Arabidopsis thaliana: one gene and its partners. The protein of the gene in region 4 interacts with the protein of the main gene of each other region in a pairwise test. Each region holds a gene or a part of one and is shown on either strand. Other genes may lie near its edges. The genes, in order: TOC1, ERF8, TCP5 and TCP11.

The links.
Region 1: the proteins of TCP11 (region 4) and TOC1 interact in a two-hybrid assay, tested with the Arabidopsis thaliana proteins (one study listed by BioGRID).
Region 2: the proteins of TCP11 (region 4) and ERF8 interact in binary tests that used the Arabidopsis thaliana proteins (3 or more experiments, as listed by UniProt).
Region 3: the proteins of TCP11 (region 4) and TCP5 interact in a two-hybrid assay, tested with the Arabidopsis thaliana proteins (2 studies listed by BioGRID).

The regions. Positions count from the first base shown.
Region 1 is NC_003076.8:24,671,587-24,680,833, reverse strand, and holds TOC1 (CCT motif -containing response regulator protein), read right to left. Parts: upstream 5,872-9,247; 5' UTR 5,295-5,871; coding exon 5,162-5,294; intron 4,845-5,161; coding exon 4,683-4,844; intron 4,547-4,682; coding exon 4,413-4,546; intron 4,263-4,412; coding exon 4,095-4,262; intron 4,011-4,094; coding exon 3,857-4,010; intron 3,764-3,856; coding exon 2,658-3,763; 3' UTR 2,284-2,657; downstream 1-2,283. Other genes in the region: AT5G61390 (Polynucleotidyl transferase, ribonuclease H-like superfamily protein), read left to right, coding at 1-274, 399-556, 734-780, 877-940, 1,064-1,725, 1,798-2,032; AT5G61370 (Pentatricopeptide repeat (PPR) superfamily protein), read left to right, coding at 7,363-8,826; AT5G61360 (uncharacterized protein), read right to left, coding at 9,037-9,108, 9,223-9,247. UniProt on the Arabidopsis thaliana protein: Controls photoperiodic flowering response. Component of the circadian clock. Expression of several members of the ARR-like family is controlled by circadian rhythm.
Region 2 is NC_003070.9:19,819,102-19,826,048, forward strand, and holds ERF8 (ethylene response factor 8), read right to left. Parts: upstream 3,152-6,947; 5' UTR 2,996-3,151; coding exon 2,438-2,995; 3' UTR 2,236-2,437; downstream 1-2,235. Other genes in the region: ATMAP4K ALPHA1 (Protein kinase superfamily protein), read left to right, coding at 93-132.
Region 3 is NC_003076.8:24,533,620-24,541,308, forward strand, and holds TCP5 (TEOSINTE BRANCHED 1, cycloidea and PCF transcription factor 5), read right to left. Parts: upstream 3,626-7,689; 5' UTR 3,319-3,625; intron 3,089-3,318; 5' UTR 3,034-3,088; coding exon 1,951-3,033; 3' UTR 1,718-1,950; downstream 1-1,717.
Region 4 is NC_003076.8:2,677,158-2,684,531, forward strand, and holds TCP11 (TCP family transcription factor), read left to right. Parts: upstream 1-3,243; 5' UTR 3,244-3,670; coding exon 3,671-4,390; 3' UTR 4,391-4,836; downstream 4,837-7,374. Other genes in the region: AT5G08320 (E2F-associated phosphoprotein), read left to right, coding at 1-26, 438-603, 1,191-1,446; ATSTE14B (Isoprenylcysteine carboxyl methyltransferase (ICMT) family), read left to right, coding at 5,855-6,448; AT5G08340 (Nucleotidylyl transferase superfamily protein), read left to right, coding at 6,744-6,988, 7,132-7,184, 7,373-7,374. UniProt on the Arabidopsis thaliana protein: Transcription factor involved in the regulation of the circadian clock. Acts as a repressor of CCA1 by binding to its promoter. No binding to the LHY promoter.

The DNA of each region.
Region 1 (9,247 bases), about 22 Mb from region 4:
CCAGCTGAGGATCGTTCAGAGATTGCCTTTTTCGACGTCGAGACGACAATTCCGTTCCGAGTTGGTCAGGGGTACGCGATTCTGGAGTTTGGATCGATTCTGGTTTGCCCCAAGAAGCTTGTGGAGCTGAAAAACTACTCTGTTCTGGTTCGTCCTGCTAATCTCAACCTCATCACGCCTCGGTCCGTGAAGTGCAACGGCATCAAACGCGAAGACGTCGAATCAGCTCTTACCTTTGCAGATATCGCCGACACCGTCTACGATATTCTCCATGGTAAGATACAGAAGAAACTCTCTTCTTTTCAAGAATTTTGGGACACAATTCGAGCTCAAAGTTGTTAACTTTGGAGCCTGTTTTGTTCAAGTGTGTTGATGTTGTGGTTTAATGGTTATTGTAGGAAGGATATGGGCAGGTCATAACATATTGAAGTTCGATTGTCCAAGGATAAGAGAAGCATTTGCTGAGATTGGACGAGATCCACCAGAGCCAAAGGGCACCATTGACTCCTTGGCTTTGCTTACTCAAAGGTTTGGGAGAAGAGCTGGTGATATGAAGGTAACAATTTTGCTCTCTGGTCCTGACTTGTTTATTGTTTTGAGATGGTTTCTTCTCGTATACTCAAAGAGTCATGATTGATATTCATCTGTGTATTTTGAATTTGCTTGATGGAATTCGAATTTGGCGGTTTTGATGGTTCCTTATTCTGTTTTCCTGTGGCCTTTGTTTGAACAGATGGCGACTTTGGCTACATACTTTGGACTTGGAAACCAGACGCATAGGTAATTTATATATGTGAGTTTTTTTGCATTACGGTGTTTTAATAGGCCGGTTGAGTTCTAATGCTTTGTACACTATGTTTATTTCTATCTCTTAAGGAGTCTGGACGATGTAAGGATGAACTTCGAGGTTCTCAAGTATTGTGCCACTGTTTTGTTCTTGGTATGCTCTCTTTACTTCTTCGAGATGGATTATCGTGTGTTGTGTGTACCTGTCGCTCTGTAGAATAGATTTTAGTGATGTAACTATGAGGAGCTAATTCAGAAACATGCCATTTTTCAACAGGAGTCAAGTCTTCCAGATGAACTTATAGAGAACTCGGTTACTACTACTACTCCTGAAACTAGTTCAAGAAGGCGTAGGACTATAAAAAAATCTCCTCTGCAATCTCCCACTGATCAGCAGACAGGAGAGAACATGACAACTATACCTATTTTATCATTTGTTTCATCCGCAGAAGCTCAAACGGATCCATTTGATATGAGCACTTTGAGGAACGAAATAGCCCCTGAAGTTCTTCAATCAGATGTTCCCATGGAAGAAGAACAAAATCAGCAGTCTGAGACTGTTGCCTCTGAAGGTACCGGTGACCAGGAAGGATTCATGGAGCTAGATAAAATATCTGTTTCAAGTATCAGAGCAACTCATGTCCCGCTATATGACGGGAGCCAAACAATGAAGCTGCAACTCTTCCTTGGGGACAGACCCCTTCAGCTCCATTGTCCTCGTCTGAAAGTACGGTTTGGAATCAATGGGAAATTTATGGATAAAGCTGGAAGACGGAGGTTGAACTTTGTAATTGATCTGTATCCAAGTCTCTGCAACGTACTTCAAGAATGCGACAGTGCTGCACAGACAATATCTGTTGATTCAGGCAGTGGTTCTGACTGGAACCCTCTAGTCATTCCAATGAAAGGATTTCTGAACTGTCCCACTGCAAGGATACAGTATGTTTTCCTATATATCTCCTTTACTTATTTCATTTGCTTTTTTTCCTGATTATTTCTTTGTATGTGCAGTATACCCACAGAGTTAAATGGAGATATAGATCGGTACGCAGCTGAGATACACCAGAAAGAGTTCTCTGGAGCTACTGCTACTCAGAAACTCATTTCTAGCAACCCCAAGGCTGAAGAGATTGAGTCTTTGTTGAATCCGAGAACTGTTCTTGACGCTTTCTTGTCTCTGGAGCCATATGATTATCAGCAGAGAGCCGGAATCCGTCTAGTTGCTAGAAAGCTTGTTATACATTAGTGGACCTTACTCAATAGCACCACAGAGAATTAAAGAAATCAGAGTTTAGTGGACTGTAGAGATTTATTTATGTAGTCATGAAAGAAACACAGAACTGTTGTTCCTGACAGTAGATATACAGCTGATTATGTTCTTAGTTTCAGATAACTTAAATCCAAATTTAGATTTTCATATGCTTCTTGTCTGTGACACAATTGCATTTGTATTGTGTTTTTCCGAGGAAAGACAGAAGCTTTAGTGGTGGAAGACATGGAGCGATTATATATAATTATATATGTAAACACAGGTGAGAGAGCGAGGGAAAAACAAGATTCAAGTAAATGATACTGGAAGGAGAAGAAAGGTTAATACATCTGAGTACTTACTGAGAGAATGTGAGTGAACATGATAAAATACATTATATGTTTATCAACGAACTAAGCTAAACCCAATGAGAGCTTTTCAATGCTCTGTCAAAAAGTTGAGCCGCAAGAGCCAACATTGCCTTAGAGACAACTCGATATTCGATGTTTTTTTGGCTGTAGCAGTATCATCTTTTTCGTGTCAGTCGATCAACATCTTCTGTTGTTTGATAAGATGCAAGCAAATACGTATAACACAACGGTTTTCAGTTCTTGGTGTATCTTCAAGTTCCCAAAGCATCATCCTGAGGAGATGAATCCCGGTTCTCCTCTTCTTCTTCTTCTTCCTCCTCTTCCTCGTCATCATAGTCAGCAGAGTCAGGCTGTCCATTTAAATCAACATTCACGCCGTTCATCTTCCTAACAAACTGACCCTTAACGCGGGGTCTCCTCTCAGCAAGGCGTTTCCTATTCACATACCTAATCTTCTTATCAAAACAACGTTGGTTCCTTTTACGTCTGAATTTCAGCAGAGCTTCCTCTCTTCTGTCAAGTTTATTTACCCTCACCTCATTAGAAGGCGGATTTCCTGCCGGTGACCAAGAATGATGAACCATAGACATCTGACCATTCTGTAAAGACATCTGACTATGCTGCAAAGATGTGTTCATTGGGTGGTGGTAGTAAGGATATCCCGTCATTCCATTCGGATGATTTGGTTGGCAATGAGGAATTTGATGACCATATTGAGGCATCATGGCTGCTGATTGCATCATAACTTGGTTCATGACCCCATGCATATAGTAAGGATAGGCATTTGGTGCAGAGAAACCCGATCCATCAACTTGAGACGAATCTTTACTTCTGTTCATAGCAACTTGGGGAATATTCATATTGCCCTCTTGGTAGTTCCTACCATGAGATTCCATTGATGTGGGAAGCGTGCGTGACCGCTCAAGGGAATGTGGATAGCTGGCGCCATTCTGCAAGGTCTCTCCTTGAGAATGGTATTGCTCGGTCCCTCTACTTCTGTGTGCTTGTTTGGTGTTGTTGATCCCTTCACTAGCCACCACTTGAAACTTTTCCGCCGCACCCCGATGAAGATGATGTGAGCCATTTCCATTGACAAGAGGAGGATCCTGACCGTTAGTTCTAAGGACAGTAGATTTTGGTGTTGCTCTGCGTGCTTGTTTGGTGTTGTTGATCCCTTCACTAGCCACCACTTGAAACTTCTCCGCCAAACCCCGATGAAGATGAAGTGAGCCATTTCCATCGACAAGAGGAGGATCCTGACCGTTAGTTCTAAGGACAGTAGATTTGACATATGTAAAGAAAGCAGAGGACTCTCCGATCTTCAATCTACTTTTCTTCGGTGCTGAAGAAAATTGCGCTGCAAAACCCCTACTATATTAGAATTCACTAAAACAAAGGTTCTTTTAGAGACTAGCTATTAGAAAGTGAGACATCAAAGAGAAACAATCACCTGGATTACTATTTCTTTTCATTGGCTCATGGTGAGACCCAGCAAGATGATCCAATGGAGGCTCTATAGCAGTAACAGCAAGAGAAGAAGTGGCTGTTCCATCAGCACCAAGACCACCATCACGAGCATGAACAGGAGCAGTAGCAACAGACCACTACCAGCAAAAGCATGAGCGCAAGCTAAAAAATCAGTTCTTCTCCATTTTCAGAGGGCTTTAAACTGTCAAATACTTTCTCACCTCATTTTCCTGGTGACTTAAATTTCCTCTCTGTGGGTTGGTGGACCTAAGACTTCTATCATCTGTGTCGTCAGAGAACAGGTTGGTACTATTTGTGTTTGGATCACTTTGATCAGATCCCACAAGATCAAAATCATAGCTCAACATATTCTTCTCAGCAAGTCCTAGCTGCCAAAACAAATATATGAAATCAATAGCATTAACTTCATGCATCAAGGTCTTTTATTTCAGAAGACGACAGATTGAGAGATATGGCTATCAAGTATTGCTCAAAAACAGTAAGATAAATAGAGAGAACTTGAGACAAGCAAAACAAACCATGCGTCTTCTTCTCCACATGTGTGTCCACAAGTTCAGAAGCTCGTTGGTGCGAAGAGGCTTCACAAGGTAGTCAGCTGCACCTAGCTTCAAGCACTTTACAACGACAGGGACTTCGTCTTGCCTCGACATCACTTAAATTGAGAATATTATAAGATTAGTCAGTATAAAGCTAATGATCATGCTGTCAAAAGCACTTTGATAAGCAGAGAAGATACAACTTCACGAATAGATAATAAAACGAGAAGAGCAACAAAGAACACAGCTTACTTATCACAGGGATTCTGCGAAGATCTTTGTCTCGTGTGATGTACCTCAGCATCTTCATACCCTTAGCCATTGGGAGATCAATTTCCGCCAGTATTATATCGATATCAGGTCCCTCTGCATTAAGTGCATCAATCACCTGCCTTGCTGATTTCACTGCAGTCACTGCATTCCAAAAAGAATAAAAACAATTCATCCAATATATCATCATTGAGTCTTGAACAACAAACAGTTGAGCATAGTGTAAAAATAGAAAGCAATACACACTAGAGATGCATTCAAAAACTATCAATAAGGTACTAAAATCAACAAAGGTTAAAAATGTCATCTTGATCACATCTGACCATACTGACTCAAAAAGCCAGACGACAAGAACCTATAAGAGATCTGCAATCTAAAGTAGTAATCCCAACTTAGCAAAAAATAACAAAGTAAAAAGAGAAACTTTGGGAACAAGACAAGGACAAACCTATAAATCATACCTTGATAAGAACACTCTGAAAGGAGAGTAAAAACCTCTCCCAAACTCGTGGAATCATTGTCACAAAGCAAAATCCTGACTCTGCTTCTATCAATAAACCCATCTCCTCCTTTACACTCACCGTTCAAATCCATGATCAGATTAACAACTAAACCCACACAAAAAAAATATCTAATCACAGAACCTAAGAAAAAAAAGGATTATACAAAAGTAGAAGAAGTAAAGCCGACAATAGTAAGTGCTATGATACTTCCATGGCCAAATCAGAACTAGGGTTTTTCGGTACAGTGTCCCTACAAAGTCGCCTAATTTATCCCCTTAACAAAGTCAAGTAATCTCACAACCAAACAAAAACTACTCTTTTAATCCCCCAACCTAATCCTTTATCCATAAGAACAAACAAAAAGATAAATCTAAGAACAAAGAGCTGAAATAGGAAATTCTTTTTTCTCTATATCGAATCATGAATCAACAAAAAAGCTCAACAAAAGTCACCGGAGATCCGGCGTAACGCCGGCGGTGAGATGAGGAGGAGAGAGAGAGAAGGTGAATTTCCGACAAGAAGAGTGAGAAGAGAAAGAAGACTCATTGTTTTGTTTTGTCAATCAATGGTCAAATTATGAGACGCGAAAAAGAGAGAGAGAGATGGTAAATCAGAGACCGTTGAAAGAGGATAGAATTGGACGGTGGAGATTAAGTCTTTTTCTTACGCGTTGTTGTGTAGCTTAATGGTGGGACTTGGGATATTTTAGGCCAAGGAGATGACGTGGACAATAAAAAGTGCAGGCCATAAAAAAAAAGGTTGTGTTGGATAGTTTGGTTGAGATAGAGAAAAGGCCACGTCATCTTGGAGAAAATATCTCATGATATTTATTTTTGTTTTTGATATTATTGTGGTAAGATACAAGATAAGAAGATGCATCTCCATATCAAAATCAACAAACATATCAAAAGGTCGACAGAAAGAAAAAATTGCAAATTCTTTTAAAATATATGACCAGATCAGACCAAACCATCAGAAACCAAATTTTAGGATTCGGCTTCGTTTCGTTTATTAAAATATATTTATAACAACAAGAAAATCTATTATCAGAATTTTATTTTTCTGTTATCTTTAGGTACTGAAGAATTAAAGATACAAACAAAATAAAAATAAAAAACGAAAGATACAGATATAGAAAATTTTACTTTTATTACATCTCAATTTCTCATCACAAAAGACTCCTAAAAATTATGATTCTTTCTAAAAGCACAGGGTTATAGATATAACACTCCTTTCATGGTTGTTATAGAGGACTTATTTAGGCATTATGATTCATTAACTTCTTAAAGTGATTGAAAAATCAAGCTAAATGATATGTTGTAACAAAGTTTCAAGTGTTTTTTTCTAATGTTATAAGTGTATGTGTGCAAATTGTCTTGTAAACAGGACATTAGCAAGATGAAATATTTACCTTCTTAGCAAAAAAGATGGTTAATCTCATCATCAGTGGTTGGGAAACAAATAATCAAGTTGTCATAATCATAAAAAGAGATAATTAGTAGGCTAAACTTTTATATAGAAAGTAAGTAGTCGACAAGCTAAAATATTTCGTATTACCGATTGGCTCATATTAGTAGCTGCGAATATCGTTAGTACAAGTGGACCAATAATGCATGATATATTCTCAACTTCATCCACCGTAAGACACGTTTTGTCCCGGTCCAACTTTTATTACGTTTTGCCATCGACCATTGACCAATAACTTGTTTATGACTTTATGATGTTAATTATTCGTGTAATTTCAGAACTATTTTATCGGGAGTTCGATTTTCCAATATGCATCGGCGGCCTTCGAGAGTAATCATTCCGGTTAGTGACTTATAAGTTATAACCATCGTATCTCACGATTATCGGTTTTATCCGGTTCTGAATTTGAAGCGTGATGGAATGTAAAAGACTAAAATGCCCTTTTCAGACACGCGGGCAATGTTTCCAACAAATGAATATATATTGTTGTTGAGCCGAGCGATCTCATGAAATCTGCAAATTTAGGTCTTTTAATAGAAATCTGAATTTCATGTTGCTGAAAGAATTTACAACGAAGTTGTAAATACTCTGAGAAACATGTAAGTCAGGAGAGAGTCCCTTCTATGGTTTATATTTGGCGGCTTTTAAGAAGCATACGCATATCAAGTGTTTGATGAAATTCCTCAGAGAAGATGATGTCCACCACAGTCAGATTAAACAGGTTTACGTATCTAACGAGTACTGCAAAACTGACACGTTACTTTTGCTCTCACCATTTAGTTGACCGATCGGAAACGGCGTTGCATGAAGTTATTCGGATAGTTTCTTCTCCAGTTGGTGGTCTAGATGACCTTGAAGAAAACTTGAACCAGGTTTCTGTTTCTCCATCATCAAACCTTGTTACCCAAGTGATTGAGTCTTGCAAGAACGAGACTTCACCGAGAAGGCTGTTGAGGTTTTTCTCCTGGTCGTGTAAAAGCTTGGGATCTAGTTTACACGACAAGGAATTCAACTATGTCCTAAGAGTTTTGGCTGAGAAGAAGGATCACACAGCTATGCAGATACTCTTATCAGATCTCAGGAAGGAGAATCGGGCGATGGACAAGCAAACGTTTAGCATTGTCGCTGAAACTCTGGTTAAGGTTGGTAAGGAAGAAGATGCAATAGGTATCTTCAAGATCTTGGACAAATTTTCTTGCCCACAAGATGGTTTCACTGTGACGGCTATTATAAGCGCTCTTTGTTCCAGAGGACATGTGAAGAGAGCATTGGGAGTTATGCATCATCACAAGGATGTAATATCCGGGAATGAATTGTCTGTGTATAGAAGTCTTTTATTCGGGTGGTCGGTACAAAGAAACGTGAAGGAAGCAAGAAGAGTTATACAAGATATGAAATCAGCAGGGATTACACCGGATTTGTTCTGTTTCAACTCGTTGCTGACCTGCCTTTGCGAAAGAAACGTGAATCGAAACCCGTCTGGGCTTGTTCCTGAAGCTTTGAATATTATGTTGGAGATGAGGTCTTACAAAATCCAACCTACGTCTATGAGTTACAACATTTTGCTCTCTTGTTTGGGAAGGACTAGGAGGGTGAGAGAGTCCTGCCAGATTTTAGAACAGATGAAAAGATCGGGATGTGATCCGGATACAGGGAGCTATTACTTCGTTGTGAGGGTCCTGTATTTGACAGGAAGGTTTGGTAAAGGCAACCAAATTGTGGATGAGATGATCGAGAGAGGATTTAGACCCGAACGCAAATTCTATTATGATCTGATCGGGGTTCTTTGTGGGGTCGAGCGGGTTAACTTTGCTCTTCAATTGTTTGAGAAGATGAAGAGAAGCTCAGTGGGTGGTTATGGTCAGGTTTATGATCTGCTCATACCAAAACTATGTAAAGGAGGAAACTTTGAGAAAGGAAGAGAGCTTTGGGAAGAGGCATTGTCAATTGATGTTACACTTAGTTGCTCCATTAGTTTGCTTGATCCATCTGTCACAGAGGTTTTCAAACCTATGAAGATGAAAGAAGAAGCTGCAATGGTGGATCGTCGTGCTCTTAACTTGAAGATTCACGCTAGAATGAACAAAACAAAGCCAAAACTGAAACTAAAACCGAAACGCAGGAGCAAGACAAAGAAGAAGAATCTGCAACATTGATTGATTTCTTCTACCCATTGTTAAGAACATCTGATATAGCAGGCAATGTATCACAAGAAACTCAAGTAAGATGTTCTGCTTTTTATGTATTAGTAGTAATGCAGAAGCAAAGGACATGAGATTCTTTTGTTGTTCTCTTTGTCCCATTGATTCTTATTACGAAAAATATGGGTTCTGAAGAATACAAAACAAGAGACAAGAATATTGTGATCAATTGGAATGTGTTATTTTTACAAGTAACTCGTTCATCTGAGTAATCTGATGCAAGAGTTGAGCTATTCTCTGCAGAAACACACAAATAAGAAACTTGTTAGTAACAATAGGTGTTTCATTGACATTTCGTCGAACACTTGGTAGGAATTATAAAAAAAACAGAGCAAGAATGAGAATACAAACCTCGTCTCTCTCTTTGATTGTATCT
Region 2 (6,947 bases), on a different chromosome or scaffold from region 4:
GTTTGACTGATGTGATTAGCATTAAACATTTCTCCTGAAACGAAAACTGAGTAATAACTTACAATGTTTATTTAATTTTCTGTGTTTTGCAGATGGCTAGGTCAAACATCGCGTGATCTTAACCAAAGTTGAGAAACTCACAGAAGACAGAACATAAGAATGTTGTTTGTGTGTCTCTTACATTGATTTGATGCATTGAATTTTGGTATTTATGTGTATAATTTTTTTTCAGAAAAAGGGTGTATTTATAAAATTTTAAGTTTTTTTTTTTTTAATTGGCATTTTCTACCTTATTTTGGCCTTTTTAGTTTTATCTTTATTTTTCCTTCCTGGTTTTTTTTAGAGAGGAAGCATATTCTTAGTTGTATAATTAAGGGCTTGCCTTTTATCTGTGATAATATGTAATCACTCTTACCATTTCATTCATATACCAGTACTCATAATCATTATTTTTGTTTTTCTTTCTCTTAACTCTCTCATATGACAAAAGTCATCAATCTTTTGTTGTTAATTCTTCTACAAAAGTGGCAACTTGTGTGGTTCATGAATCAGACAACTCAATGCAGCTGTAAACTAAAAAAATTGACTAACAAGGGTTATTACCATGAGAGGACCTGTAGTGAGTCAAACATATGCTCAGGAATACCAGCTCGGTCTTGGTTTAGATGATTAAGTCCCAACCTGAGTATATCTTTCAATCGTTACTCTGGAAATAGCAACATACAAAGAAATAAATAGCAACCGTGACTCTCTTTCTCACAATATAAACTCAAAAGACTAAGGACCATTATTTTTGATGAAAAATTGAAAACTCAAGATCTTTAGTTTTGCTAAGTTTTCTATTTGAGGCCTAAACATAACAAGGAAATTTAGCAAAACAAAAGTTCTTGAGTTTTCATCCAAAATAAAAGGCCATCGCCCAATGGCAAAGTTTCTTTAGTCAACGAAAACATTTGTTTACGTACAAAATAAATAAAATTTGGGGTCACACTAAATCAGCATTTTTGTTTTCTCATTGGGTCACTGAAGCTTCACAGAGGACACGTATTCATTAAAGGTGATAATACAATGTATTATCCAATATACGTAGATGAGTAAGTGGTCCCTTTTTGGTCGGAGAAATGGTCAAAGAACGAAAGGACCTAGTATTTGTTTTCGTTATTTTACTAAAATCATACAGTCACAGTCACAGAGCTCATAAACAGAGGTTTGTGTAAACGCCGTTATCATAAACACCGCGCCAAACACCTCAGCCGACGTGTCGCAAACATTGTCCTGATGACGCCACACGTGGATCGGGCTTTCGGATCCTAGTATGGTAGCCTTCGGTCCAGCATTAAATTTGTAACGTAAAAAAGTTGCAATCGTCAATTGATATAAAACATCTACTTATGGGAGTGATCCATAGTTGTGCGTAGTGACATGACATGGGTGTATATTTGGTTGAGTGGGGCTAAATGTCGTTAAGATAAGGGCTTAATTGAAACTATTCAACTTTCTAGAGGCCCCAATTTTACATCCCTTTATTATAACCCTTAACACGATTTTGTACGCATGCATATATATATATTTTAAAACATACTAACTTCTTTAAAAAAATATGAAATAAGAATTTAAATTATGTTAAGCGTCCACGTGGTAACGATGACGATTCCAGCCGTTGGATCTGCGACCATAGAGCATAACTGTTTTATACGTTTTTTGATCACAAAGTTGGCGACAAGAATCAAAATCAAATCTCATCCTTCCTTTGTCTCTCATTATGAAGCCGCCGCTCTTCTTATCTTCAACTTCCTTAAAACATTTTTACCATTTCAAATCGAATACTATTCAACTTAAGCAAGACTCTTAACCATCTGTTAATAAATCATCGGAGTTAAAAGAGTTGATGCAAAACACAAAAGTCAAAAGTTAGAAAAGCAGTCCAAACTGTGAAAATGACGTAAGCGTAAAGAAGTATTCTTCTAACGTACGCCGCAGCCAGAGAAGATGGGTCCGGTCCTCCCACGATTGGTGCGTGTCTTCACGACACTTGGACCATTGTCTTTTCAAGCCGACGACGACGATACTCATCACTATATTTAGTCTTATAATAATAACATTACCATTCTTTATCTATTTCTTCTACACACGAGCCCCAAAAAGCTCTATAATACTTTATCTTTTCAATTACGAATTTACGATGATGCATTTCCTTGGCAAATACTAAAGAAAAAAAAAAAGCTTAAGATCCTCTTATGTTACGTCGATTTATAATAGGGTTTCATAATAATATATACATAACGACTTTTTTTTCACGGCAGCTAAAAATTATATTGGAGCTTTTCTACACTTTCTTCTAAAAAACGGATAATATTTTTTTCTTAGGCAGAAAAAAAAAGGAAACGTTATTTTTTTTTGTCTAAAGAAACGACATAAGAAAAAAAAAACTCACGGCCTATTCCGCCGGAGGAGCTAAGTTAAGATCCAGATCTAACGGCGGAGATATCTTCCCAGCTCCACCTTCGAAATCAACGACCGACGACGTTTCAGACTCGCTCTGGACACCACACGTCGTCATCTTTGGATACGTCGCCATGTTATAGTAGTAAACCGGATGCACAAGCGGGATCTTACGACGACACGCGCCGCCGCCGCCTAAGCTGAGCTCGAGGTGCGGAGGTGTTATAAACCGTGCCGCCGTGGGAGAGTCGACGACGGTGCTACTCTGAGTAGGACTACTACCAACGATAACACCGAAATTGGTCTTAGCCTTAACACCACGAAAGTCACGCGCGGCTGCGTCGTAAGCACGCGCCGCCTGCTGAGCGGTGTCGAACGTACCGAGCCAGACTCGAGTTTTCTTAACCGGATCTCGGATCTCAGCGGCGTATCTTCCCCATGGACGTTTCCTAACGCCTCTGTAACGAATCTCTTTGGCAGCATTACTCTCATGATGAGTCGGGTTCGTTGGAGCAACCGGGTCGGGTTTCAAACCCATGGTGATGTTGGGCATGGTGTAATTAGGAAGAAGAATGGAACGAGAAGATCGGTGAAAGAGTTTTGTGGTAACGAGAAGAAGTAGAAGAGCTTCTTTTTATAGGAGAGTAAAGCAACGCTCCTTTTGGGGAGCTTTCTTGTGAACAGTCAAAGCCATTTTGAGAGATGGTTTAATTATCTCTCTCTCATGCTTCTCTTATTTCATATAAAAACTGGTTTTTGTTATTATATCCACTTATGTTTTGCCACGTGTTCACTTCTCTTTCTCCAAAAGAATCTTATTTATTACCCTTTTTCACCTTTGTAACAAAGACTGCACAAATCACAATCTTATAAATTAAGTTACTGCCTATTAAGAATATAATATAATTTGGTTTTTGCTGCATTTATCCCTATTTAAACTAGGAACATATTTGTACTAAATCTATAAAACATGTTATATCGCCACTTTGCAATTTTAAGTAATTTTTCTTATTAAAGCAATGTAATATGCGGATTTAAATCTATATAATGACATAACAATAATACTAGTATACACTATTAAAGAGTGTTATTAGTTTGTGATTTAATTAAAGTTTTAGTAACTTAAAATATTATAAAGAATCTATTGTTATTCAATTAAAAAAATTTAAAATATTAAGATTTGTAAAAAATAATTTAAAATCTTGATAAATCTATAGTTATTGGATTTATACTTTTATAAAATTATTATAAATTTTATATTATTTAGCTAAAACAAAAGAATCTATAATTGTCAATGAATTAAATTATTGTGTTATTGGTTTATGATTTTCTACACTTTTTCCAAAATAAAGTTACGAAAAGTATCATTAAAAAAGAAAGATTGTTTGAGAAAATTTAGAAATTGTGAAAAACTAATCAACAAGATTATAGAAAACTCTATAATAATAGTTTAGAAACTTTCATTTCTTTACAATCTATGATTTTATCAGATTCTTGAATTTTTTTTAATTAATTAAGAACTAATAACACCCTTTTAAACTATATGTTTTAGTTAGGTCAAGATTTATATATATATATATATAATATAAACTATTGTGTGTGTATCTAGTAGAAAAAATATTCAAACAAAATTATCGAATTTGTAGTTATATATGTTGTTAACACATAAACAAAAAAAAAAAAATTTGTAAGAAAATATATAGCGAACAAAATTTCTGAATTTGTAAATTATATACCGTTACATATATATATCGTTAAAGTGTCGACAAAAAAATATTTCTTACTTTTCTGTTTGGTAAAAGTAAAAATTATTTGAAATTTGTAATTTAGCGGATGTTACCATGATGACAATATATAATTTAGCGGATGTTACCATGAAAGCTTATTTGGTATAAAGGGAATAGAATAAAAATTTGTACTTTAGTATACCGTTATTCCGTTATAAATGTCGTTAACGAGCCGACAAGAAAAAAAAAATCTATTATTTACATGCTTATATCTGGTGAAAAATAAATATTATCAAACAAAATGACCAAAATTTTATATTGTAGTGGATTTTATATATGACGATATCATGACGAACAACGCATATATACTATTTGTGTATTTATTTGGTAAACAAAATATTATCAAAATAAATTTTTAGATTTATAACTTAGTGAACTATTTTATATATCGTGTATATACAAAAAAGAAAGAGATATCTACTACTTGCATATGTACATTGGATTAAAAATGAACACCATCAAACAAATAGATTCGAATTTGTTAGTTCTGTGGAGAAAATATACGTTGTTACAGTGACGGAAAAAAATGTCGCTACAGTGACAACAATAAAAAGACAAATCTATTATTTACATGCATATTTGTTTTTGTTTTAAAGAATACTATGGAATATATATGTTGGCTTTTATAGTTTAAAAGACTTTTATATATGTTGTCTATCGTGTTACCAATGTATATATATGATTGTAGTTAGAGTAAAGTATAATATAATCTAGTCAAATAAACGCACAACAAAAACTTTTTTTTGCCAAATTCAAACTTAAATTGTAAAGTAATTTCTTGATTATCGCTCAAACCAAATGAGTATAATTTACAAAGCCAATGTCTTCAAAAAACATTTTGGCTAGACGGGCTAAAACATCTGATCTTAAATTCAATCGTCGAGGGATAAGAGAAAGGAGAAAAAAAAATCGTGAATGAAACATATCAATAAGATTGGAAAATACACTTTTCAGAATACTGTTATAACTTGATCAACTTAAAAATTCTGTCTCAAACTTTGAGGTGTTAGAATATTTACTAAACTTCTAAATCTAATATACTCAATAAGTTTTCAGTGTTATAAAGAATCTCTGGTATTTATAGAGTCAGTTTAGATAAAAACTGGATTCGAACAAGATTAAAGTTTTTGGAGCAAAACTGAAGGAAAAAAATACAAGAAATGAAGGTGTTGATCGATAGCTTCTATGTTGCATCAATCAACAGCCCGTTAGAGGCAAGACAAGTCAATTTATTTTGTTGAATAATTGATCGATATTTCATCATGCCAATTCCATTTTGTCGACAAAATCGATCGATACCATGAATGAGTATTGATCGACTGCCTCTTGAGCCTGACTAGGCCACCAAGACCTACTGTCGGCCTAATGATTGACATCTCTATTCATGTTGATTGGCATTCTTTAACCGAGAGTTTTGAGTCTCGTTTTGTCTTGAGTCTCCCTATTTTGACATATAACCAACCCAATTGATCGTTTTTTACATGCCTATTTGGTAAAAAGAAAAAGAATACTATCGAATACATTTGTTGTATTTTTTTTGTAGTTTAGAAGACTATTGTATGTCAACTACTGTTAAGTAATAAGTATAATCTAGTAGAATAGGAAGACTCCAAGGCAAAGCACATGTTTGTAACAGAAAAGGTTATAAAATTGAGTGATTAATCAATGCATCATAAGTTCCACACGGTGGAAACATACTATCACACAATGAATCCATTTATTTTCCTAATCTTGATTGTACTACCAAACAACCTATAAGACGATCTGCTATATAAAGTGCGTTAGTTTAGATGCCATCATACTCAAATGTTACGAACATTTTTTTTCTGAAGTGTTTTCTGATGGAAATAAATTGGCAACAACAAGCGAGAAATTAAAAGCTCTCCTCTCACAATTAAAGAGACGCAGATATTGGCATTAGAATCTGGAAAATTACGGACAACAACAACATCAACTTTAAATTTAATAACAACAACAAAGAATCAGCGGCGCATCAAAAAGCCGAGCGAGAATTCTTCAGAAACGTGGCACAATCACGAGGACGCGCGGCTCAGGAACCGCGTTTTAATGATAACGCGTGACGATCACGTAAGCCGTTTCGACAAAAGAGCGTTATAACGTTTTTCTTGACGGTGACATAAGCTAAAATCAGCCGCCCCTAACGCTAAAACCCAAAATCTCTACATTTTTTTATTCTGGATTCTCTTATGCCACGTGGATAATAAAGACACGTGGGACAAGATTAAAGGATGGAGACCCGCGTCGGTTAACCGCAAATTTAACGAAGGTGGGACCACCGTCAAGTCGATTCTTTTTCAGTTTCGTAAAGACGGAATTTAATTTGACGGCAGGAGAAGACCAAGACAGTGACGTCATTATCCATTTTATTACTTTCGTTCATTGTTTTTTGTTTTAAATTCTTTTCTTAACGACTTGGTCAACAGTCGACACTTCACACCTTACTTGTTGGATCTTTACGCCTTGATTAATGGATTGGTTATCTTTTGTGTGTGTCCACAGATTAAATTGGTAATTTACGAAAAGAAATAAACATCATCATCATTAGTCTGTGTTAATTATTCAAAATTACTTCTATGTCACGTTGAATTCAAAAAAGTTTTTTTTCGTTTCCTAAAAGCAAAACTAGTAAAACAATTTGATATTAATAATTAAACCTTTGAGAATTTCATGCCATAGCAAATTTAAATTACATACTAT
Region 3 (7,689 bases), about 22 Mb from region 4:
CCAATAGATTAATAAATGAAGGATTATTTTTGTAGTATAATTTTTAAAAGACTGTATAAGTTTGTGAAAAAAGTTAAGTGTGGATACATGCATAACAGAAAAAAAAAAAAAAAAAAAAAGGAAGAGAATAACCAATAATAAGTTATAAGAATCAATTTGGAGTAACTAAGTTAGATTTTTCTCATGTTTAAAGTCAAGTTTGTTTGATAGCTTTGTTATTATTTCAAAAAATAACTAAACGGTGGAATAGATATGTGTAAGAAAAAATCTTAAAATTGTGTGAAAAAACATAGAACTTAGTTTGAAACAAAATGAATACAGTATTTAATTAAAGTGAGGAATTATTAAGAATATAACGAAAACGTTGAGAACTGTAAATAAGCATGTTGATCCGTATGATCACTCTTTTACATGCATATATCTCTGCATTGCTTTCGCCCTAAATATAATCTCTCTCCCGCCTCAAACACGTGAATGTGAATGAACTTATGAATATAATCATATCACATTTTATTAGCTCTCTTGTTGAAATCAGTTGTGTGTTGACTAAAGACTACCAGCGATTATTTTTGAACTTTGATATTTGAGAAATTGATGATCAAAAGTCAGCAAATACGGAGATGAGGAAACCGCTAGCTATTACAACTAATTTGCCTTACATACGTACTATTATTATATCTATATTCACAGTTTTTTTGGTAACCATCACTTTCTTAATTAGTACATATATACTCACATATGTATACATAGGTTATATATGCATGATTGTGGGAGTGACTCATATATACACACGAGTCTAGGGTTTTGGCATGCATTACATAATACATATTGCCGTGCTTCTAGGCATTGTGAACAGTAACCTATCTATACTTCTAAGTTCGTATCTCTATATATAAAGAATATATAATATATATGCATGGATATATATTTATGTTCTTATGAATACATTTCATAATTAATATGCCCGTACAAATATACGTAGTTATAAGAAAATGAATGATTGTGGACATAAAATTATTTGAAACTTATTGGTGTTTTTCTGACACATGACAAGCAACGACCCCTTCGATTTCTTTCATTTGCATTGTGAACAAACATGACTTTTCTATATACATTATTACATTGGCGGTAAAAATTTGTACTTTTGTAGTTAATTATAGATATATATATCAAAATTAATTTGTAGATACGATTATATCCAATTCAAGTCCTGACTATGTAATCATTGCATAATGATGATTAAGATAGATCATATCATATTTTGATTAAAAAAATTACATAATGTTTTTTCTTAGCAACATTGTGATGCCTATATATATATATATAATGGTGATTGGTGAAATGCTTTGAATCTGGTCATACGATGGTAGAATAGCATATGGGTTTCGATGGACCTATTTGGTTTAAAGTTGAATTAGGGTTATGTTAATACTCTTTTTTTCTTTTTCTTTTTCTGAATCTGTTTTTCCTCCATCCTATTTTGAAAAGTATTATTGTTCTTTGCGTTTTTATTCACTTTCTCACATTCGTGATAACAATAAAAAATTCCATATATGTAAAACCTAAATCCTAACATATGAAATATGATTAACTAATCTAGATTATGGATTAGGATGAAAGTGCTAGCTAGTTATGAGATACCTATATTGTACAATTCATTTATTCGAGTGTATATATTCATAAATGAATAGAGAAAGACATTCAAGTAGAATTCATATAATTTCTTAAGGAAGCAAAAACTACCTTCAAAACTAAAACATATATAGAAATAACAACCATCCTCGCATTATGAATGTCTTTGTTCGAATCTAAATCCGAGACTATTAAAAAGTGTATACATACACGAAGAAGATACATAAACCAATCCAACAATACGCATATATATCAAAATATAGAAGAATACGTATACATATAACATTTTCAATGTATAGTGTAGATATATAAAATCATTCAAGAATCTGATTCATTATCGCTACTATGATGATCCGTATCATGATTCGAGCTCATCAAATGATGAAATGGTCTAATCAAACTCGTATTACCCGGCATCATGTGTTGCTGCGATGCGGTATTTGAATTCGAGCTAAAGAGCTGAAGATGACCGGCTCCATCGACGACATGATGATGATGAGAAGCTCCAAGAAACGAAGGGTATGTCGGGAATAGAGAGCTCATTGCCGGAGGAGTAGGACCGAAAAAAAGCTGAGATCCATCTCCGGCAGACGAGGAAGGAGGATGCAAATTGAGATTATTGTTATTATTAGCAGCAACATTAGATATTGCGACAGTAACGTTATTACCAGATTGGTCTAACGATTGTTGAAGATGTCCAAGGTTGTAATAAGCTGAAGTGTTGTTGTACGGATTGGTCAGAGGAAATTGTTGTTGATGATTGGTGTTAAACCCTTGATGATCTTGATTACTATTCTCGTCGTTTTTGATCCATTTTCCTTTATCAAGATCAAAACTTTCTCTTTGGGTCGTAGTTGTATCGGTTAATCTTGCTCTTGTTCTTGAAGAACCACCAAGATCCCAATTTTCCAAGAACCCGAGATTGGTTCCTGGAAACGTTGTTGATGTAGTTGAAGATGGAGATTCTCCAAACCCGGAGTTTCCGAAGATGAGATTTGGATACATCTGGTTAAATCCATGTGGGAATTGTAGAGGAGGTAGCTTGTCTACGTCATCTTTTGCTGCTTCGAGTAACCAATCAATGACTTTGCTTGGCTGACTCAGCCCTAATCGATCTTGAAGGTCGTAGAGTTGAATAGCTGTAGGTACGGACAACCTTATCCTCCGGTCTCGAAGACCACGGACTGTACATACTTTGCTGTGTCTGTCTTTGCCACCGAATGTTCTTGAGACTCGAACGATTCTTGGATTCCTAAAAGCTGAAGTCCATTGCCTTGAAGATGATACCGAACTCGGCTGTTGTTGTTGCAACATGTGGTTTAAGTTTACTTGATGATTTTGATTTTGATCTCTTTCTTGCTTTGCTTGAATCTCCTCTTCATCACATTCTCCTGATCTCATCTCTTTAATTCACTCAACAAGATCTTCAGTACTCAATTTGGTGTAAAGAACAGATCTGAAACAAGAAGGGAATAAATTGACCAATTTAATAGAAAATAAATCAAGAAGACAAGAATTAGTTGTTGTTAGCTTTCAATTGAATGAAATTGTTGATTTTAAATATGTTTTTGGAGCGAGATTCACATGAAAACAAAGCAATAATATCTCTTTCTTGAGTTTGCATCAAAGAAAAGAAAGCTCATAAGAATTTGAAATTCAAACATGTTGAAGGTTATATGTTCTTACGTTGATTGAATACTGGTAAGCTTGAGTCCTATTTCAAGATCCAGCTTGATAGAGAAGTAGAAGAAGGAGGAAGAAGAAGAATAAGAAAGAGATAAGGAGGCAGAGGAATGTGTAGTATTTCTTTTTTTGGAAACTAGAATTACATATGTATATTATAATGATTGGGGAAGTTAAATAATAAATGAATTAGATATATTTTTAAGTATTATATTCCGATCCCTAGGGCTTTTTTTTTTCGGTATGAAAGGAATTTATGCAGAAGGACAAAAGAGGAGCAATTTATGTAGTGTATTGATACTGTGATGGGAATGTGCATGTTTCGTTACACTCACAGTCACATAAATCTTATATATATAAAACTTTACAATAGTTGACAAAAAAAAAACCTTTACAATAAATTTTAATATATTTTAGTATTCAAGTTTTGGTTCCCTTTCCTTGGTGTTAGACATTCATTTTGAATTTTATATGATTTAATTTTTACCCAAGTTTGTGATCTATGTTGTCTTCTTATCTTAAACAAAAATATAAACATACGGTTAAGGTCATTTAAGAGAAAGTGTACGGTTGACAAATTAATAGTTATAAATGGTAACAAGAGCTTTTAAAGTGAAAAAAAAATATAGTACATGTATAGTAAATTAATAATGGTAAAAGTGGTTTGAACTTTGAACTGTGAAACATATATATATACAAGATCGAGTTTGAAAGTTTTATGAAACCAAATTTTAGTAAATTCAAAAAAATTCATAATATAAACAAATGGAAAGACCAATTTATTTACAGTCGTCGCTCATTTCATTTGAGTTTCTGTCGTTTTGGAAAATGAAAAGTTTTATTTGTAGATAAATTGTTGAATTTCATTATTAACGAAGCAACTTGTTGAAACCCTAAATTTAGTGATAATGAAATGTAGACTTGTTAAAATCAAACTGTTGGGAATACTGCTTTTATTTCTAATTAACTACTTGTGGGTTATATTTTTAAGCATATATAGAAAATATCCATATATATAAATTTTTTGTTTTAATATCAACATATATAAGTAAATATAATAGAGATTGACAGCTAGAGGAGGTAAGGGTCTGTCTCTGAGATAGAGAATGGACCAACGAGTATAGGTTTTTCTTTAAAGCATCTAATGCCTAAATACTCACAAAGAGATTTGTGGTCCACTTCTCTTCTAAGTGTCTTTGCCACTGAGATTTTTGCCCACAATCACAAACCATTTTCTTTCCTCTTTGTATCCAACTTGATCACTACTATATATAAAGTCTTCTGTAATTGACCGCGCCTTTAACCCACACTGGTTGTTTACGAAGAATATTGAGTTACTGCATATATAGTACTGTACGGTTTCAAATTAAGAACTCTGGTTTTGATTATGTAATCTTGAGATGAAATTGACTGTAACAAAGTTACATTTGTAATTTTGCAAGAAAAAGTTTTGTATCAGTTTTTTGGTCCTCACTTAAATATGGGGAAAATATTAAATAAATATGAACCACTTATATATCGTATAATTTTAATGATCATATAAATTGTGGTAACTGTTCATCTCAAATCAAAGGTTCCATGGATTTCTTTTTCCACATCGGTTCCGTAGATTATCCAACACAATTTTAAGGCATTTTAAGATGATCACAACACAATGTCACAGATTATTTTAAGAAGGCGATTGGAAGCCTTCATTAAAGGCATTTCCAAGGATCTTTCCGGATATGGTGGTATATTTTAAACACAAATTATTCTTAGAGCGAGATAGACTTGTACATTTCATTTTTTTGGTACTGTGATAGACATGTACTAACTTTTATATAGATGGTGTCAGTGGTATATTGGTCTAACTAATATATGCTGCAACAATATTAATTATGATGTATGTTCATAAAACTTGTGGTGAAATTTATCACAACAATTTTTTTGTCCCAACAAAGAAGCTTGCCAAACCTACCCGTCGTCTAAAGCAGCCCACTACCAAAGCCGCCTTTAGTCATTGCTTGGTTGGTAACGTCTGTCAAAGCCAAAACCTTAATTTCTTTCAAAATTGATTTAACGTAAATTCAAGCTTAAGGAATAAGCTAGAAACTATTAACAAGATCATATTTTAGGGAATTTTGGGAATGTATGACAGGATTTGGCAACGAATTATGTGAATACAATTAAATTGTTCCTGCCTTTTATATATATACACATAATTTAACTTAATCATCATGTTGACAAAAAAACAACCGAATCATATATAGGGATGGATGATGATGACGACGACGACGACGTGACTTGAGCTTCTTGGCTTAATTTCCTCCGACTTTTGGATCATATATATATAGGATCTTGTGATCATTAGTTGTACAGAAAATACCAAATACGTTAAAATTGTATGTTTGTATACATGTAACATGTATGTATATGTTCGACACTTCTGACTTTAGGCTGAATTTATTTCAAAACTCTGCCAAATTGAAATTTCAGTCTGTTCAAATAAGTTCTCCATCTGCTTAAAAAAATATAAAAAATGAATAACCAGGTTGTTTTTCCTAAATAGATCTAGCTAGGCAATAGAAGCCCTAACTCACGGCTCACGCTGTAGATTAATTACGTCCTAATTTTAAGAATGTTTACATGTCCTATACTTTTCTTCAACATAATTACGATTTCTCTTTCTTACAGCGGAATTTAAATTGAATATTAACGACTTGTAAGGGAAAATGTTGTAGATGTAAAAAAAAAAAAAAAAAAATGTTGTAGATGTAGGAGAAGAAAACTGGTAGTAATTAGCATCATATCACCGAATAATAAAAATAAGGTTTCTCGCAGTTGACTATCCGTAAGAATTAGAAATACTTACTAATTTGTTTATTCCTACCAAATTTTCATTTGCAACCAAAAATATTTGTATATATGTGATTGATCCAAATTTCAGTTTTTTAGTTAGGGAATTGGACATTTTTGTCTTTTGATGTGGGAACACAGTTTCTTGCATCCAAACTCACAACATGTTGTTTTCTTTAAATCTTTAACCATCAAAGACATTTTAGGTCAATAAAAGCATCTTTGTTTTCTAATGTAAATTCATTCATTATATACTTTATCAAGGTTGAATAAAAAATCTTAAGAAAATATAGCTAACTAGTCCAGTACTCCTCCTAAACTTTTTTTTGTTGTTGCCAAATTTACTGGATTATGTGATCTAATAATATGAAACACTCTAAACAACAGAATCTCAATAATATTTATCAAAACGAAAATGATGGAACTGTGTGTATTTTTCCACAGAAATAAAAGAAAATAAGACAAGTTCGTGGTCTTAAGCTATCGCCATCAGAACGTGTACAGAGTCACACAAATCGGTCTATATACCAGAATTCTAACAAATGATCAAAAATATCCAAACTTGCATACTTGCGTTATGTGATATCAACGAATCATAACATCCACATCTCTCTTTTATTAATTCAACTACAAGAGAGAATCAAAACAAAAGAACGAAAACGGTGTCGTTCATTATCTAACAGTGAACACTACACGATAGCCTAAGAAGGTCTTCTTCTTTTTTTGTCTTTTGGTACTGAGCCGTCGTTTTCGGGTCTGAACGTCAGTAAATGCAGAAGGCTCATGCTGAGACAGACAGCGATATGTCCTTGTAAGAGACAACACCAAAAGGAGTAAAAACCACCAAAAAAAGTAAATTATTTAACCACATAAATACACTACACACACATCCATATATTTCTATACTTATATACATGCTGATGCTGACATTATGACTTACATACATAACTGCTTCTCTTTTTTGTATTATTGACGTAGTAAAGGTGTCTCCAGAGTTTGCTGCACTGAAACTACTCGTTTCTCTCTGTGTTTTTACTGTTAACAATATCAAACCAACTCTCTATTGATCTCTTCATATTTGGAAAAGAATATTTAATAATATTAATAAATCACGAGTTCATATATAAGACAAACATATATATAAATAATATAAGGTTTTAGATGCCAAGACAAGTATTGGCTTTTATGGATAAATGGATATGAAAGTAAAGGACGTATACCCATAACGTTAGACAAATTGACTCTGTTTGTTGAACTTTGTTTTGTAATAGTATTCATTTAGATTCCTTTCTTTGTCGGTAAGCCAAATAGCCTCGAGGGATTGAGAGGAGACAAAGGGGAAGATATGAACCTGCAAAGGATGAGAAAATGCAGTAAGAAAGTTACTGTAGAGTAGTGAAGTGCCTTTAATGTCTGGGGGAGCAATAAACAAAGGAGACAATTCACAAAATAAATTATTATTTCAGATAATGGTTTTTTTTTTCGAGCTTGGACCTAGAAAAGTAAATCAATCCCATGACTCAAAAACTGTGTATACTC
Region 4 (7,374 bases):
TTCTCCGACCAATTCACAGAAAACAGGTAAAATAAAACCTTTAATACGCTCAAACCCTTTCACTCGCTGGCCGATTCGACTCAATCCCTTTGTTGTTTCGTTCCTTCATCCATGGATTTCTCATAGGTTTCGGTTAATATGATCTCTCTTTTGCTTTTTTTGTCATCCATCGTATTGAGACCTTGAGCTATTTAGTATTTAGCTAAGTTTCTGAATCTTTATGGTGTAATTGATGTTGCTATTCGTAAGCTAATTGATGCCATAGATTGCGAAAAGAGAAGTTGTTTCTTCAGTATTCAAGAGATTTGTGTTCTTGTGTTCAAGTTTAGATTTCAAGTTATTTTGTAATAATGTGGAATCAGAAGGACAAGTATGTCTATTTTCTGTATATTGATTTGATGAGGCCTAACTTCTTCTTGTCTACTACCTTGTAACAGTTTCGGATGACGAGGAAGTTGATTACTCCATCAAACCGGAGTTCTATGATTCAGATATTGATGATAAAGATGAGCTTTGGATGGATAAGAAGAGAGATGGTCGTACTTCTGATGCTCTTCTTAGCTGTCCAGCTTGTTTCACCACTGTCTGCTTAGAGTGTCAGAGGTATTTTCCTCTCTCAACATCAGAACTTGGTGTTTTATCTTCATACGATTGTTATATCCCATCCAGGCTTTGCTTTCTCAATGTTGCTAGGGCTCCATTGTTCAATCCTCACCAATGTGTTTGCTAATATATTGATAGTAACTTGCTAGATTCTGGAATGTTGACTTGATTATGAGATTCTTGACAATTGTTACAGGCTCTAGGTTTTTGTTAGGAATGACAATCTTGGTAGAATCCAAACCAGTTATATGACTTGATTAACGAGAAAAATTTCTACTCTCAGTCCAATTCCCAATCCCAAAACCCATAGGTAAATCCAGAACTACCTTTTCTAGCTGCTAGCTCTGTAGCTAACTAACTCAAAGATTGCTGATACAACTACTATCCACTACACACCGCCTAGGCTATTACAACACTCATGCGATAGACTAATATAAGGACTTTATCACAATGGATTTCTTTCTTTCCTCTTCAATCCGATGATATTGTTTTGTTTATGACTTGATCCCTTTGCACTTCTTTGAACTTGGTTTTAGTATTATAAACTGCGGAACCAAATTAAGACAATCTGAGTAAAACTTTTGCAGGCACGAGCAGTATGTGACACAGTACAGAGCAGTCTTTGTGGTCAATTGCAAAGTAGGTACAGACACAGTTTTGCAACAGAATACAATGCCCTTAAAGGTTGGTAAAAGAAGGAGAGATTCCGAGATGCAAGAAACTGGTTCTGAAGATAGCGAAAAAGTTAACCCGGTCTTTTGCTCAGCTTGTTCCACAGAGATCGGAGTAGTTGACAGTGAAGAGATCTACCATTTCTTTAATGTCATTCCAAGCGAGCCTTAAAACAACCTGGTTTTATGAGTTATTTGTAACGAGTTCTAAACAGGTGATTAGGATTAAAGTTTCGATTGTTTGCGTTAATCTTTACGTTGCATGTATATCGTTTGATAAAAATCAAGTCACTAGAGAATTTTGAGTTATACCAAAGTCAGAATCGTTCACAGTTCACATGATTAGTAATTTAGTATCAAACAAATACCAAATACAACAAACTACAAAGCGAGTTGGTCTCTGAACGTCTTTTAGTCACGCTAGTCAAATAGATGGCAGAAGATAAAGCGATCCTCTCAGTTTAAAAAAACGAGATGACGTGGATTATTCTGATTGGTGGAGTAAGCTAAGAAAATCTAGAGAGGCATCGCCAAATGAGAAAACTAGAAAAGAAGATATTTGTATGAAACACGAGTTGATTCTCTTTTGACAGAAGTGTCACTTTCTTGTATTTTCGTCCACCAACCCCCATACTAATAATTCTATACAAATTCCCATTAATAAATAAAGGCAGATGAGAATGGGCTCCAGCTGTTTAACACATTTGACAATTGTCAAATGATTCGTACACATATTACTATTTTAAAATAAAATAAAAAGATTAGAATATACTATAAGCATTTTTGGTAAATTGGTGATCATTAAAAATTTCTATGCATTTATCCAGCTAACCCCACAACTAATCATTCAAATCCCAGTTAATCACTCAATATAACTTTTAACATGCGCCGGTCATTAATAATTGTCAATTGTATCATACAATTTGTATGTAAGCTTTTGTGGCAACGTTTTCTTTTAAGAACTAGCTAGTTCAATTGAATCCTAGCAAGTAGCTACGAAATGTGACTAAAATTTCTCTACGAGTCTCTAGTTTGGTGGTTCCTCAGCTGTGCGTCGTAGTTTCAAGTTTTTACTATCTATCATACTTTAAGCATGCACAAAAATATTCTTTTCATCGCTTTTGATAGCACCTTCACGTATTATATCGACAACTTTAAGAAGTTGGCTTGGGTATAGTTTTTAAAAAAAGGCATTTAAACATCACTCATGGTTGTATCGTATGGGTACGGCAATCATCATAACAATTATTTCTGTTAAAGGATTTCACAATCATATAACAAATATTAAGACGATAATATAGTATAATGTGCATTATATATTCATCATGAAAGAAATTATTGTCGCGAAACAATTTAAAAAATCTCGACGCAACGACATATCAAAATCGGCATATCTGCCAGGTGGGCACGGCTACTTTTATTATGCCACGCTCCAAATGGAATGATTTGTTTTATTATTGCTTAATGGGTAATAAGAATTTTGATTATACAAATTGCACACACGAACGCATATCGTGTGGGGGTCACAGTGGTTGGGTTATACTCAGATTAGTAACCTGTGTCATAAAGCGCGTAATTGTCATTTCTTTTATTTGAGCTATTTATTTATCCTAGAAGTTAAATAAAAAATAAAAAATAAGAGACAATCACAAATTAGTAGATGTGAAATTATAAATGACTAAAAATAAATAAATTAAAATCGTACAAAATAGAATCGTAATCAGTGTAGGTGTAAAGTATACTCACCAATCAATTACCACCATTGATTGTCTCTTATTCCTCATCTTTTCAACTATTGTGGAAACTGGAAACAGCTTTTGTCTTAATTGCAATCTAATTTCCCTACATCCTATAAAATGCATTAAACTCATGAGGTAAACGTGTATGATTACTGTGGTTACAAAGCATAAAACATATACTACTTCATTCTAAAACAAATTTTATCGATAAGAAATAAAGGTAAAAATCAGCATTGTTGTGGTTACATGTCACAGAAGTAATAAGAATTAGTAAAAACCAAAATCGAATTCATATTATTCTTGTAACGCTACTTATTTTCTACGAATCCTAATTACTCGTAAATTAGCTAATGTAATTCAAGCAACCATATAAATGGGGACCCCAACTAACTCCTAAACCTAAAAACTTAAATTCTCCTGCCCGACCGTGGTCCAACGCTATAGTCAACACCGGAGTCAAGCGCGTGAGCTTCAACCGCGTCCGGACAAATTAAAAAAACCTAGCAGAAGTGAGCTGTGTGGGACCCCACCAGCCATGTGCTCTCCTTCCTGTCTCCACCAGCCTAGCTTCCTCTCAAATCATTACCTCCTTCTTCTTCTTCTTCTTCTTCTTCTCCTCGAGAGAGAGTTAGATAGTGATAACGAAATCCTAATTCCATGGCCGACAACGACGGAGCAGTGAGTAACGGCATCATAGTCGAGCAGACGTCAAACAAAGGACCTCTTAACGCCGTTAAGAAACCACCGTCTAAAGATCGACACAGCAAAGTTGACGGAAGAGGAAGAAGGATTCGTATGCCAATCATTTGCGCAGCTCGAGTTTTTCAATTGACCAGAGAGTTAGGTCACAAGTCCGATGGTCAAACCATAGAGTGGCTTCTCCGTCAAGCTGAGCCTTCTATCATAGCCGCCACTGGAACTGGCACTACTCCGGCGAGTTTCTCCACTGCTTCTCTCTCCACTTCTTCTCCGTTTACTCTCGGGAAACGTGTCGTCAGAGCGGAGGAAGGAGAATCCGGCGGCGGAGGAGGAGGAGGGTTAACAGTGGGACACACAATGGGGACTTCGTTAATGGGTGGTGGTGGTTCTGGTGGGTTTTGGGCTGTTCCGGCGAGGCCGGATTTCGGACAAGTCTGGAGCTTTGCAACCGGAGCTCCACCGGAAATGGTTTTTGCGCAGCAGCAGCAACCAGCTACACTCTTCGTCCGCCACCAGCAGCAACAGCAAGCTTCCGCCGCCGCAGCAGCTGCAATGGGTGAGGCTTCAGCAGCTAGAGTTGGGAATTATCTTCCGGGTCATCATCTCAATTTGCTTGCTTCTTTGTCTGGTGGAGCTAACGGGTCGGGTCGGAGGGAAGACGACCACGAACCACGTTGAGAAATGGTATTGTCTTTTTGGTAATGTATAGAAAAATTCCTATGTTTTATGTCATCGAAAGTGTTTAGAAAGTACCTCTAATTTGCGGTTTCTTTTGCTCCTTTTTTACTTAATTTAAGCTTATTGCTTGTTTGATTAGGGTTTTAGGGTTTAAGAATATTTGGTCTCGTTAATTTGTTTCGGAGAGTGATAGAAAGAGAGAGAGATTGATTGATTGTTGTACCTAAAACGCTATAAAAGCTCTGTTTTTACTAGCGAAACAGAGAAGTCGTTTAACTAGTGATCATTGCCATTCAATCAAGTCTCTTTAGAAAACTAAAGAAACAGCAAAAGAAACAAATTTGAAGTTGTCCCGTTAGTTTTAAGCATGAATTCTATTATGGTTCGTTCGTTAATGAAGTTGTCCCACTATTTACTCTTTCGTAGTAAAGGAAACAAATTTGAACTCGGGTTAACGGAGCCGGTCCGGATGATAATTCAGGTTCCACCAAAAACTTTTAAAACTAATAACAAGCCCATCCACTATCCAGAGCAGTATAATCGTAAGCTTCAAACACAAAAGAAATACTTCAATTTAACTCATCGTTATCAGTTATAACCGGAACAAACCGATAGGGGACCATTGGATCAAACCGTCTCGAACCGGTAACCCTAAAATAGTCTGGTTCTTGAAATTTCGGTGATCCTGCAACGTTTCTTCTCATCGATTTTGACCGGAAGCTCCTTGATTCAAACAAGACTTTTCTTATCGGGGAAGATCAGACGGAACAGAAGAGATCTCTGTGTTTACAAAAGTAATTCCTTGATTATAGCAAGCAAAGAATAAAGGGTAAAGGTGTAGACTTTGCTTCTCTCCTTCAAAGTCCACGCGATTCTCACTGTCAGCCTCTGCGAAATTTCCAGTCTTTCTCGCATTTTCCCTCGTAGCAGCCGTCAATTTCAACTGGGTATGTCTTAGATCTTCGTAGCGTTTACGGTTCCTGCTCAATTCTTCGTTTCTCGTGGTTTGACAGTTGAGTTACAGAAAACGAGGACGAAAAGCCTAATTGAAGAAATTAGTGATTAGAATTTTGTGATTCCGTGAAATTTTAGTATTAGTAAGTATAGACAGAATAGAAAAAAATCCCGTACTATTCATCAGCTATACATATCTGTTTGTAATTCTTTGAGTAAGATCTTCAATTCTCATGTGAAAACTGTGTTTTGAATGCTTGTCATAGATCAATTGTTGGATTAAGAAACATTGTAGTTTAGTGTTAGAAGAACATTAATGTGAGATTTGTTACATTGATTGACATTAGTGTTCCTGTGATTTGGTTTTAAAAAATCTTTGGTGAAGTGAGTTGGATTGGATTTTACTTGAATGCTTGTTGTTTCCCATCTTTTGGCTAATGATGTTCTTTGACCTTCTCGGGTCTGTTACTCGCATGTTTTTTCAGGTCTAAGTAATCTTGTGAAGACTCAATGACAGAGATATTTAGTGACACCGGGTTCAGACAGTTAACTCAAATGTTCCTGGCGATAATCTTCTTCCACACATCGGAGTACATTCTCGCCATAGCCATTCACGGAGCATCGAAAGTAACTTTAAGCTCACTCTTAATCAGCAAACACTATGCTTTAGCAATGCTAATATCAGTCCTCGAGTACATAGCCGAGATTGTTTTCTTCCCGGGGCTGAAACAACACTGGTGGATCAGCAATTTCGGTCTTACAATGATCATACTTGGAGAAATCCTTCGCAAAACCGCGATAATCACAGCAGGTAGATCGTTCACACACCTTATAAAAATTCGCCGGGAGGAGCATCATAAGCTTGTGACAGAAGGAGTGTATCAAATCATGAGGCATCCGAGTTACTCCGGGTTTCTCATTTGGTCTGTGGGAACGCAAGTAATGCTCTGTAATCCAATTTCAGCGATTGCGTTTGCGGTTGTGGTGTGGCGGTTCTTTGCAGAGAGAATACCTTATGAGGAGCATTACTTGAAGCAATTTTTTGGGAGACAGTATGTGGAGTATGCGCAGAGAGTTCCTTCTGGTGTTCCTTTTGTAAACTGATCCTTAGATCAATTGTGAACATATACGAGCATTGTTTGATTACCTTTTACATAGAAAATTATGAAAGAGATGTTGTTACTCATGTTTTCAGTTAATGTTCTCTTGTCAATGTCTTTGTGTTTCTTTTTTTTTATTGCTAAATAATTTGGATATTATTCCAAAGACTCTGCCTGAGCCAGAGGTTTATGCTTATGAACATAAAATTTGACCACTGGGTTTTAAAAGTGATTTAGCTCCGGCGAAGAGTCTCTCCGTGAGAGCGAGCTTGTCCGATTTGTAAGCACGAGACGGAACCATGTTGTGCGGAGGCTCACGTGTCTTGCAGCATTTGTCCGACCACAATCATCATAATTCGATTGGTTTAGGATTAGGGTTTTGTGGTGCTAAGATTGTGCAGCTCTCTTCATTCTTTCTCAGGCCTTCTCAGGCTATGGCGAAGAGTCATCATTTCAGCCGTAAATTGCGTCAGCGGATGATTTCTTCATTTGGGTCTCATTGCAGAACATCCGGAGAAGTCCCAATTCTTCACAATTGTTTCAGGTTTTGTTTCTCTCCTTGATTTGGTATATCTGATTCTTAAGTGTCATTGTCGAGATTTATGTTTCTGGACTCGAAAGAGAGATCTTTAATTAATTCATCTGACTGATGTTAAATTCGGGGTCTTTTGCTTTCTTCTACTGAAGCCAACGAGAAGATGATCCTGAGCTTCCAGTTGAAGGGTTATCTCCAGTGTCAGGTATCTATCTAGCTTGCTTGTTTCTTGCATCTTCATTCAATTTCCTAAGAAAAGTCACACCTTTCTACTCTTTGATGGGGATTTTGTGGTTACTGTGCGGTTCCTTTCCTTTTGGAAAGAGCTTTAGTATACATTTGGTAGAAGAATAGATGTTAGCTCATGATCATCTGATGCATAATATGTTGCAGGA